Drosophila melanogaster: one gene and its partner. The protein of the gene in region 2 interacts with the protein of the main gene of each other region in a pairwise test. Each region holds a gene or a part of one and is shown on either strand. Other genes may lie near its edges.

What was found. Proteins that work in one complex are often made in the same cells at the same time.
Region 1: the proteins of CG13045 (region 2) and CG11905 interact in a two-hybrid assay, tested with the Drosophila melanogaster proteins (one large-scale study listed by BioGRID).

The regions. Positions count from the first base shown.
Region 1 is NT_037436.4:16,930,634-16,937,518, forward strand, and holds CG11905 (uncharacterized protein), read right to left. Parts: upstream 4,904-6,885; 5' UTR 4,855-4,903; exon of another isoform or gene 4,673-4,854; 5' UTR 4,576-4,672; coding exon 4,561-4,575; intron 2,728-4,560; coding exon 2,660-2,727; intron 2,379-2,659; coding exon 638-2,378; 3' UTR 539-637; downstream 1-538.
Region 2 is NT_037436.4:16,289,174-16,292,722, forward strand, and holds CG13045 (uncharacterized protein), read right to left. Parts: upstream 1,778-3,549; 5' UTR 1,703-1,777; intron 1,646-1,702; 5' UTR 1,625-1,645; coding exon 1,061-1,624; 3' UTR 539-1,060; downstream 1-538.

The sequences.
Region 1 (6,885 bases), 640 kb from region 2:
GTGGTTCGGGTCTTCACTGCAGGCAGAGCCTGTAGCTTTTCTGGTTTCTCCAACTCGCTGGAGCTGTCATCAGCTAAGCTTTCGGGTCGGCCAGTTGTGGTAGTGGTCGTTGTGGTTGTTGCACTGGCTATGGTGGCTTGATCGGCACTGGCGATGGTGGGTTGCACCACATAGGCCAGGGGCAGATTGTAGGCGGCGTAGTATGGGGCACTGAACAGCACGGGTTGATAGGCTCCATAGGGCGTGAGGTCCTGGGCCGGAGCAGATCCTGCAATGAGTTTTCCGGACTTCTCTGCGACGGGTGCTCCTGGTGGCCAGGCCTCGATATTGGTTGTGCGCCAGTAGGCACTTGAGTTAGGATAGTTTTTGGTTTAGGAAGAGTGGGATAGAGGAAAATGGTGAAGAGAACCGCCGGTTAGTCGTATATTATTTACAGCAATAATTCGAGGGGTTAAACTGTGTCGGGTTAATATCATGCGGAATAAGTGTGATATCTAAAACTACTATGTACAAGATGAAAGCAAAAGCCCAAACAATTACGAAATACAAATATTTATTAGAACACTAGACAATACCAACTATGGATCCTAACTAAATGTGCTAAATAATAGCTATTAGGTTTAAGCCTCGAACTGGATTAGGACTCGAACTGGCCCGTCTCCAGCCCCGCCCCCTGATCCGCCTCCATGGTTGTTGTGCCCGTGGGTGGAGCATAGTAGACCGTTGGTCCTGTAGCCACTATCTTTCCCTCTCGCGGAAAACTTCTCGTCTCCAGATCGGTGCGTGCCAGGGCATCTTTAAGGTCCACATCTGCCGGTATGGAGATCACCTTGGCCCCGGGACCGGCGATGGTGAGACTCCGTGGATGGGTGAGAGCATAGCCACCGGGACCAACAATCGCCGTTCCTCCGCTGCCCGCCGTGGCCACGCCCCCGGGTCCTGCGATAGCGATGCCGCCCCTGCGAACCTTTAGCCGCTGAATGATGATTCCTCCTTCGCGCAATGCCTGCTTTTGGGTGCTTTCCTGAGCGGTGGCCACCTGGCTCACAGTGTGCATCAGGTGATGGCCCTTGTGAGCAAACAAGTGCTTCTCTGAGGAGGCACTGTTGTCCAGTTCCGCGGCTGTGTTCTCAATGGTATCCACATCATCGGCCATCCCATCGCCGGCGCCCTCGTTTTCATCCTCCCATTTATAATCCATCGAATCGATTGAGTGATTCTTCACAGGAACATTGCCAACAACCACAGGACCTTCTCCAGCTGTGGCCGCCATTGGAGGTCGGAAGGGGAGCTTGAAAATGTTTTGAAAGGCATTCTTGATGGCAGTCGAGGTCTGATTCTGCATCTCAGCTATATTCATTCCGGGCATGCGGAATGGACTTAAGCGATTCCGATTGGGCAGCAAGCCACCAGATGGTGGTAAAGTAGAACTCAACAGGACAGGCGCAGATGTAGCCTTGATATTAAGGGATGTGGATCCCTGGTAGATTTGCTGTTCAGCATCCTTTCCACTCAAGCGAACGGGTTTCGCTGTGGAACCAACCTTCTTTCTGTTCAAAGAATTTAATTCCGGTGACGAAGTGGGCTGAATCTTCTGTGGCTTATGCACGGGCTTCTCGCGGGAGTCCAAACGATATTCCTTGAAGTTCACAGGCACTGGAGCCTTTGTGGTGGTCGTACCAATGGTGGTGGAATTACCCCTTTTTGGGGTGCCATCTTCATTGAGAGCCAGTTCTCGGGGCAGGAAGAACAGGTGATACTTGGGCGTCGTCTTGCCCTGTTTTCTTCCAGCCTTCGCCTTGCCATAGAAGCTGTCCACATCGCCAATGATTTTGTATCCCTTTATCTTGTATTCCTGCGAGGCGTGCTCCTTGAGATACTCCTCCTTATTGAGTTTGTACAGGTGCACGGGCACCACAAAGTGGGCGGGCAGCTGCTGTGCTTCTTGTTCGGAACTCGGCTTCGGTACCTCCACCTGTTTGGGTCGGAAGTAGAGTTGCGCTTTCTTCTCCTCCTTGGAGGTGCTCTCAATTGCCTGGCGCAACCTGGGAGGCACATTGTAACTGCCCGCCACATTTCTTGTGAGTTTCACCGCCCTAATTGAGGGTTCTAACAAGGTCTGACCATTACTTCCCGAGAAGTGGTGCTGATGGGCGTGAAATGGCTGATGGGCGGGCTTGGGGAACAGGTATTGACTGGAATCAAGGATCGGTGGCAGCTTGGGCTGCTCCGGCTGCTTCTTCACGTAGCCAAAGGCCTCGTTAACCTTGGCTATCTGCTCGAGGATGCGCTTGGCCTCGTCCGCCTTTTCCGAGGACGGAGTGGCCGCATTGGGCTCAAAGTCCTCGGGAAATTTGACCAGCCGCTGCTTCTGAATTCTGCAAACGAAAGGTGGGGTTTGTTTGGTGGTCTCTATCTGTTGGTGGAGTTAGCTTCTAGTTGCTAATGCAGGGTAATGTGTTGTTGGGTGGAGGGAAATGAGTTTTGAGGGTTAGTCACAAGTCTGGGCTTTTTTCGGTTTAGTCACATAGTTCTAGGCAAGCGCATCAACTTCTACTTGGAATGAGCATTAGCGTTGACACAGTCACATTTGGCAGGCAAGGCATTTCATGGTTATTTGGGGTCTTAGGGCTGGGTAACTAGCTACTAGTCTACTTACTCGACGGCCAGTCCACCGTGCTGTTGAGCCTGGCCAAGTGCCAAAGAGGCCAGAAGCAGTGTTGAGAGCTGAAAGACAAATGTGTGACAATAGATGAATGAGATCTATGATTTATGCCGGTTAGATAGGGTGTCTGTATTCTGATGTCGTAATGGATACAAAATTCACACGTGTGGAATGCGGTCAAGTCCCGAAAGTCGCGAAAGTCTCTCTCTCCCTGCTCCTCCAGCACATTTGCATAATTTCTTTCGCTGCTGAAAGCTACGCCGAAAAGTGAGAGCCAGGTGGCAAGGAACGGCTTATGTACTTGACGGATTTTCCCTCGAATACGATTGTCAAGAACCTCACGATCGGCAAATATTTGACTCACTCTCGCCGGCTCTCCACATCTTTGGCAAAGTCAATATTGACGCAACCGTTAGCCGGTGGAAACGACCAGCCCGCACGCCTATCTATCAGCGCCGAAATGTCACAAAGCCGAGAGGAACTGAGACCAAAAGCCAAAACCAAAGCTGGATTCGAAGTCGAGGCTCGTGTTGTGTCATTGACCTGAACCTCTAGGCGGCTGTTACGATTTCGGTGCCGAAACGTAACTCGAGAGAAGAGATTCTGGCGCAGAGGCTGTCGAACCTGGTTGCCATTGATTTGCAAGAACTCTTGCATCCCCAAGCAGTAAGATGTATTTCTGTCTGCTTTCTTTTGTGTATTTCGCCTTATTTATTATATTGCCCTCACATAACGATGCCGATTCGACCCCATATCAGGTGTGTCTTGTCCAAAAATAAACTGGGTTAATGGCTCGAATGCAAAGTTTAAGCGCAGCATTTTATGTTCTCAAACAAGTTATAAATGAGTCTGTCTCCTGATCTTCACATCCGATCAGGTGTCTTTTGGTCTTAAATGATATTCCAGAGCCATTCCAATGCAGCTAATTGAGCAGGGATTGATGGACTTGGGACGTGTGGCTAACTGTCTACACTCATAAATTGATTAATTTATGAACCACTATCGAAACGATCACAAACTCGAAAACAAACCAGTGCACTTATAGTTAAGAACCCCACACAAATGTGACCGATTGTTTGATAGTTGGGAGGGGGAAAAGAAGACTTATATTACCATTTGTTAGCCCACGCATGATTTTTATACGTTTGCGGCATATTAATTTTATGTTCTTTGAGTCATAATTATTTTTTGGGCTTTTCAACCCAAGTGGTTGTATTGGTTGTGGTTATAATTGAATGGCATTGTTGCTTATGGGAGTCGCTGTAGAGTTTTGACTTTTAAGGGCATGCTTTTCATAATGGGAATATGAATAATGCAAGGAACAATACTTCCTAGGTATGAATGATTAATTCTCACTTTTTAAATTGGGGTGGGGCTAGAATATTGTCACGTTCAAATGGAATGGACAAAAGGGTTTCACTTTTCAGAAAGAATTAACTCTTTTGAAAAACCTTTACTAAGTGAACAATAACTGGCACAAAGAAGTCTTAACCTTTTGCATTCATATAAAAAAAAGTTTCCCCAATATAGTTCTTTGCGTCCAAATTGATTTGTGATTATTATAAACCCCAAAAAGATTTTAGGCACTCTTATTAATATTTGCATATGGCACAGAGCATAATTAAGGCTAATTAAGGCGATCAAAAAAAGGAAAGAACCAAGCCAAGAATCAAAAAAGTCGCTTAGTGAAAGTTAGTGTCGATTCAGAAGTGAAAGAAACAAAAGACTTAAGGCACGAACTTGGGCCAGTTGACGAGTTAATGAGTTCAGCGGCAGCACAGAGCAATAAATGATTAATTGCGGTCAGGTATAAACTAGTTTCGTTTTGTATTCCCAAAATGTGAAGTTAAGTCATTCATGGTATTTAATTTTCTTTTTTATGCGATTTGACTTACAACAAGAAAGCGCATTTTAACGCGAGGTTCTGGTGAATAGTTTCAGATTTTTCAATAAATGCTTGGTGTTCGTGGCGTTGACCAATCCTCGCCTTGACAATATATCCTTGAACTGCAAACGAGAACGGGAATGAGTGGCACTCTGGGTTATCACGCGGCAAAATCACACACACTAAAAGCACTATAAAACCAATCCTGCTGAGCTTTCAATTTACGATTGTTTCAGGTTCCGTTGTTTTTCTTTCTTTTTTTTTGTCACGCACAATAAATAGGGTCTGGAAATGGAACTCCTACCAAGAACCAAGAGCCAGCGAGCCAGGCGACGTCTGAAGATGAACTGAGTGCTGGCCGGGCCCAGCGCGTCTGTTTATAACATTTCCATTAGCGATGCAAACGACGAAGCGAAAGAAATGGCCAAGAAAACAGGGCCCGATCAGGTGTAAGAGAACTGGGTTTTGGGCAGAAGAGAGAGTCGAAGAGAAGACCGCGATTCGGGCACGTAGTCGAGCGCCTTGGCCTGGCTTTTATCTGGGGGCGTGGATCTGTGGGATTTGGTTACCAGCTCCAGGGTACACAACACCAATTGATATGCAGGCTTACAACTCTAGGATTTCGCAGATCGAAATCTTCCCCGATCCCTTGGGTTAGGCAAATAGTTTGCCTAACATATTGTCAGATATTTCTCAAGCATTTGATTAAATGTGCTGACAGTCGCTTCTTCAGTCTACTGTTTCGCAAACTCGCACCTAGCAAGAACACAGAATCACAGCGCTGACTTTGATTAATTGGCCGTTTATTGGCTTGATTGAGTGTGACTGGACAGGAGCGAAGTGACTGGCCATTACAAGTGGAGTGAGCCACGAGAATAGAAGCGAAATGCGTGTGGGAAGTGGAAAGGTAATCAGCTCGGAACGGGCCCAGAACATGACATAAGCCAAAATGGTAAGAGACTTACCGTGATGAAAGAATCGATTCGTTGCCGGGCAATTCAATTAAAATGTTTGCCTGGAACTCGTTAGAAAGTTTCGCACATAGTGACTCAAGAGTCATGTTCTTTTTTTTTTTTTTTGATTTGACAAGCACTTCGGCGTGAAGACTTCACACACTTCTCGGGTATCAACAGATGTCAGGATTAAGACTTAGCTTCGGACCGTTTTTGATCGATAATCATGAATAACAAATGTCTGAAATCAGAGAAATTGATTTCAGGTTCGTGCCTTAAGTCATTTGTTTTCATTGCAGACCAGTCTTTATTAGCCCAGAACCATTAATTTTGTGATTAACTTTGCTGTGATACAACTGCAATTTATTCTTTTATTGGCTTTTATGCCCCGAGCAGCCAGCTACTGACTGCGCTGTGAAATAATGCATATTCCTTGATTAAGCAGCATCGAACGGGGGGTCGACCTTTGTGGCACACGCAGGCATCAATAAAATTGCCACAAGATTTATGGTTTCGAGTGCGCAGAGCCGAAGGGAGCATACGAAATTAGCAGCAACACGTTGTAAGCCCCGAATGCGCCACACGCACCACTTGATCCACAATTGGAATGCAGCAATCAAAAGGCGATAAATCGAACCCCAACTGAAATCCAAGCAGCCGAAGAGCGAGTCGAGAAGTTGAAGACCGAAGACCGAAGACCGAAGACCCAAGACCCAGAGACCTTGGGGCCTATTTATAAATGCAGGCGAAACGGGACTGCTAGTGGGATGTCGTTGCCTAGGCCCGGGCCAATTAAGTCTGACCTTCGGCGAGGAGGAGAATCCCAGCCCAAACCGTTGTTTATGAGGGGGAAAATAAACAGAAACAGCTAACTGGCACCTGGGAGAGCCGGAGCCCCAGTAATTTGTGGTTTCAATGCAGGCCGTTCTGCTGCTACGCTAACCCAATTATGCACCTCGGCTACTTCCCAGGTGAGCCATTGATTTCTACGCTGAGAACGTGGCCATTTCAGCCATACAAACCCTAGACCCGGCCGAATAGAATCTATGTCAAGCTATGGCAAGCTTTTTAGTGCTCTTCTGTACGTTCTTTTAGTGCATTCGGCGAAGAAAGTTTTCGAGTGCGTAGGAACTTGTTTCAGGGAAATCACTCGCTTAGATCTCTTGACATTAAAACTTAATTGTGGCAGTGAAACTTTCGGTCAAAACTGGCCCATGTAATAACTTTTTGTTTTAGCAAATATGCATATTATTATTGCTTATGGGCTTTTCTTGGCTTCGCGCGGCCAGAAATATATTTTATTTAGGCCACGCCGTGGACGCCAAGGCTTTCCGTTCGATTCAAATTATTTGGCAAGTGCGCGCACGCGTCGAACATTTCAA
Region 2 (3,549 bases):
ATTTAATTTACACTGAAAGAAATGGGGAGCCACTTTTCACTATCGGAATTAATGTTAAATACAAATTTATTATTATTATACCCGTTACTCGTAGACCTTTAGATAGTAAAATACACTCACAATAAATGCGGATCCGAATGAGGTTTACACTGAAAGAAAAGGGAGGAACTTTTCCTGTTTTTATTTAAAATTCAGATATATTAATTTAATATTACACCCAGAAACTTACTTATTCATTTTTTTTTTTTCATTTTACTAACATTGATTTGCCAACAGAAAATGTTAAAATTTCTATTTCGTTCGCCCACTAGATGAGTAGTGGGTATCTTATAGTCGAAGAACTCGACTATAGCGTTCTTGTACTTCTAGTAATTTAGCTAATGTGCTGTTTATAGTGTAATAGCTTGATTTATTGACTTATAGATGTAGGTATCTAAGAAAATACTTATGTATTCTAATTCAAGATAACAAGATCCAATTAATATCCAAAAAGTGGACAAATACAGTTCTGTCTTCTTAAACATTAAATCTAAATGTTAAGCCGCCACCCAAATATATTAGTATTCAAACTTAAATACGGAAATACACAATTTACTTGATTTATTTGTTTAATAACAATATTTGTAGTGTAATCAAGCTGTCTATCTGTGAACTCAAAGGCTCTTTAAAGTTTAAACTGTTGACCCAATTGACGGATGGCTCCGCTATTTCCCTCTTTCATTCATTGACTTAGGTCAGTTGATCCGTAGTCATAGCTTTAATAGCGGCAAATTTATATTATTTATTCATTTTTCTGGGCCCTCTCAAAGTCAAGCCTCGCCTTTGGCCAAAATTGGCTGAGCCAAAAAATAACTTCGAGCCATGAAAACATCTGAATTATTTATGGGTATTGACATAAGCATAATTTAATCGCTACGCTTCGCGTTCTTCGCATAAATTCACCAGTCGCGTATAATACGAAACATAACAACATTATTTAGATTTAATTAATTGCTAATTTGAGGAAATTATCATTCATAGTTATGCATGATGAGCCAGAGCCCAGCTGGCGCTTCTCGAGTTACCAGCCCTGAGTGCTAAATGCTACAGGAGGGGGAGCTCCATAAACGGCGGCCGGAGAATGATGAGGTGGTGACCCAAAGTGGAGCTTGTACCTGCCATATGACGGGGCAGCAGCTGCAAACTGATAGCCAGTGGGTGGAGGAGCAAACCGGGCTATGAACTGTGGTGGTGGTGGAGCTGCTGCAGCATAATGAACGGCTGGTGGTGGTGGTGCTGCAAATCCGGTGTAGGTGGTGGTGGTAGTGGTCACTGGAGCTCCAAGGGAGTACTTAATAACTGGCTGTGGTGCCGCATAGGTTGTAGCATATTTAAAGATCGCCGGAGGTGGTGGACCATAGTGATCGACAGCTCCGTACGCAAATCCTTGATGGGCACTAAAGGCCGCTGGCACGGTGACGGTATCGGAAACGGGTACTGCTACTGGAGCAGGTACCGCCACTGGAGATGGAACCGGATATGGAGAAGGCACAGGAACTGGCACTGGGACTGGAACTCCCACGGGAACGCCCACCGTCGATGGTTCATGATGGAAACTTCCAAGCGCTGGAGCACCAAAACACATCAGAACACATATCAAAGGTATCTATATATAAAGATAAACTATTATTTTTCAGTTAAAAGTCACTTTCGATTCACTTGCTTTTGAAATATTTAACATTTTCACCCGTTATGCTTTCTTCCGTTTTCGATTTCCGTATTAAGTCACTTCTCCGCGACACTTTCACACGAAATGAATCGATTTTGGCTGACCATTGCAGGTTTATATATACCACGATCCGAGTTATGCTGATTTAGTGGGTGGAGGAGTAGGTGGAGGAGGAGTGGAGGAGGGGTCTGGAAACTAGAGGAGCCGAAAGGTAAAAACTCCATTAAGGGATCTGCGCACGACGTGCAATCGACAAGCGAATCGTGCGGCAAATGCATGCGACAAGTTTTGCAATGCCCCATCCGCAGGCGAAATTCGGTGGAAGTACGAACCACAAGTCGGTGGTCAAAACTTCAAATGAGGTAATTAAGGTGGAAGGTATAACTTCACACTTTACCGAAAAAAAAAAAATTGTTAACAGTTTAAGAACTCCGAATCAGTAAAGTAAAGATGTGAATGCTTTTGTGACTCCGTTTGAAGTCAAGAAGTCAACCTATCCAATCTTATTTTTTATTAGATTCCAATTCAGAATTGCTGTAGTCGGATAGATGGTGTTAAAATTAATAAGCATATGTATTATTTCAGACATCTTCTAAATAAATTCCTCAGATATAAGATATGCACCTTAACACACCCCTCTCTTCGGATCAACATCTTAAACTCTTCCACCTCAGAAGCCATTATCATGTGCACTTCATTCGCCCAAAGCCATGGATCACATTTACGAATGCACGCGCTACACTGCAGCAACTTTTACTGCCGCCGCCACCAGCTGCAAAAAAGTATAAAATATAAGACAAAAAAAAAAAAAGCAAGCAAGTGGCAAGAGCTGCAAGAAACCCATTGCGATCACGTTCCAGGCACCTTTTTATGCCTTATGACTCTGATTGATGGCCGTTGCCGAAATATAAATGCCAAAATATCACACGCCAGTTAAAAGTCGATTTATTACCGCCGCCAACAAAGCCATTTTCGTTGCTCTCAATTAGCCGTGGAAAAGCCCAAAAGTTGGCCGCGTCTTGTGCATCGCCTCCAAGTCGCCCAAAAGTGGGCAAACGTGTGCATGGAATTGCTACCATAAAATCTGGTCCAGAATCTGTCGTAAACAGGCGAAATTCCCGCACGGGTTGCCAATTAAATTTGGGTTGCCAAATGCGCGACACGCGCTCATCGAAATTGTCAACACAGGAGCAGGACGCTGAAAAAAAAGAATAACAGAGGAAAATCGAGGACGGGAAAGCCGGGGAAATTAGCATAACAAAGTGGCTAAATCAGAAATCGATATGTTCACCTTCGCTGAACCGAAAAAGGGGGCACAGATAGCGGGAATTTCCACGCACGTTTTTCTTTTTGTTTTCCTTTTGTGTTCCAAGTGGAGCACACGCCCAGCTTTTGAGCTGATTCTACTCCTCGAGTGGTTGCTTCGCGTTTTCCCCCATTTTCCATACAAATTTTCCACACATTTTCCGCCGCCGCTGGCAACAGGTGCTCTTGAAACGGAGCCGCATTGTAATGTAATGCGTGCTAAATCGCTGCACGTGTTTGGCAACAACAAGTGCGAATTTGTATCCCCCATCCACCACCAAAATAATACTTTGTTGCAAGCTATTGAAGTTTCAGCTGATTTGATTCACTCAATTGATTGCACACAACCTGTTAGCTGGAAGATATGCTACAAATATTATTCAAATGGTTTTTCGTTTCGAGGAAACCGTTGAATGTATACCAAATCATAAAATTATTTTCGCTCATCAATTTTGAATATGTACACGCTTTCCTTCAATCGCAATTTCATTTGAATTTCAATGTTGCCCCACCATATTATTTATACAATGCGATAA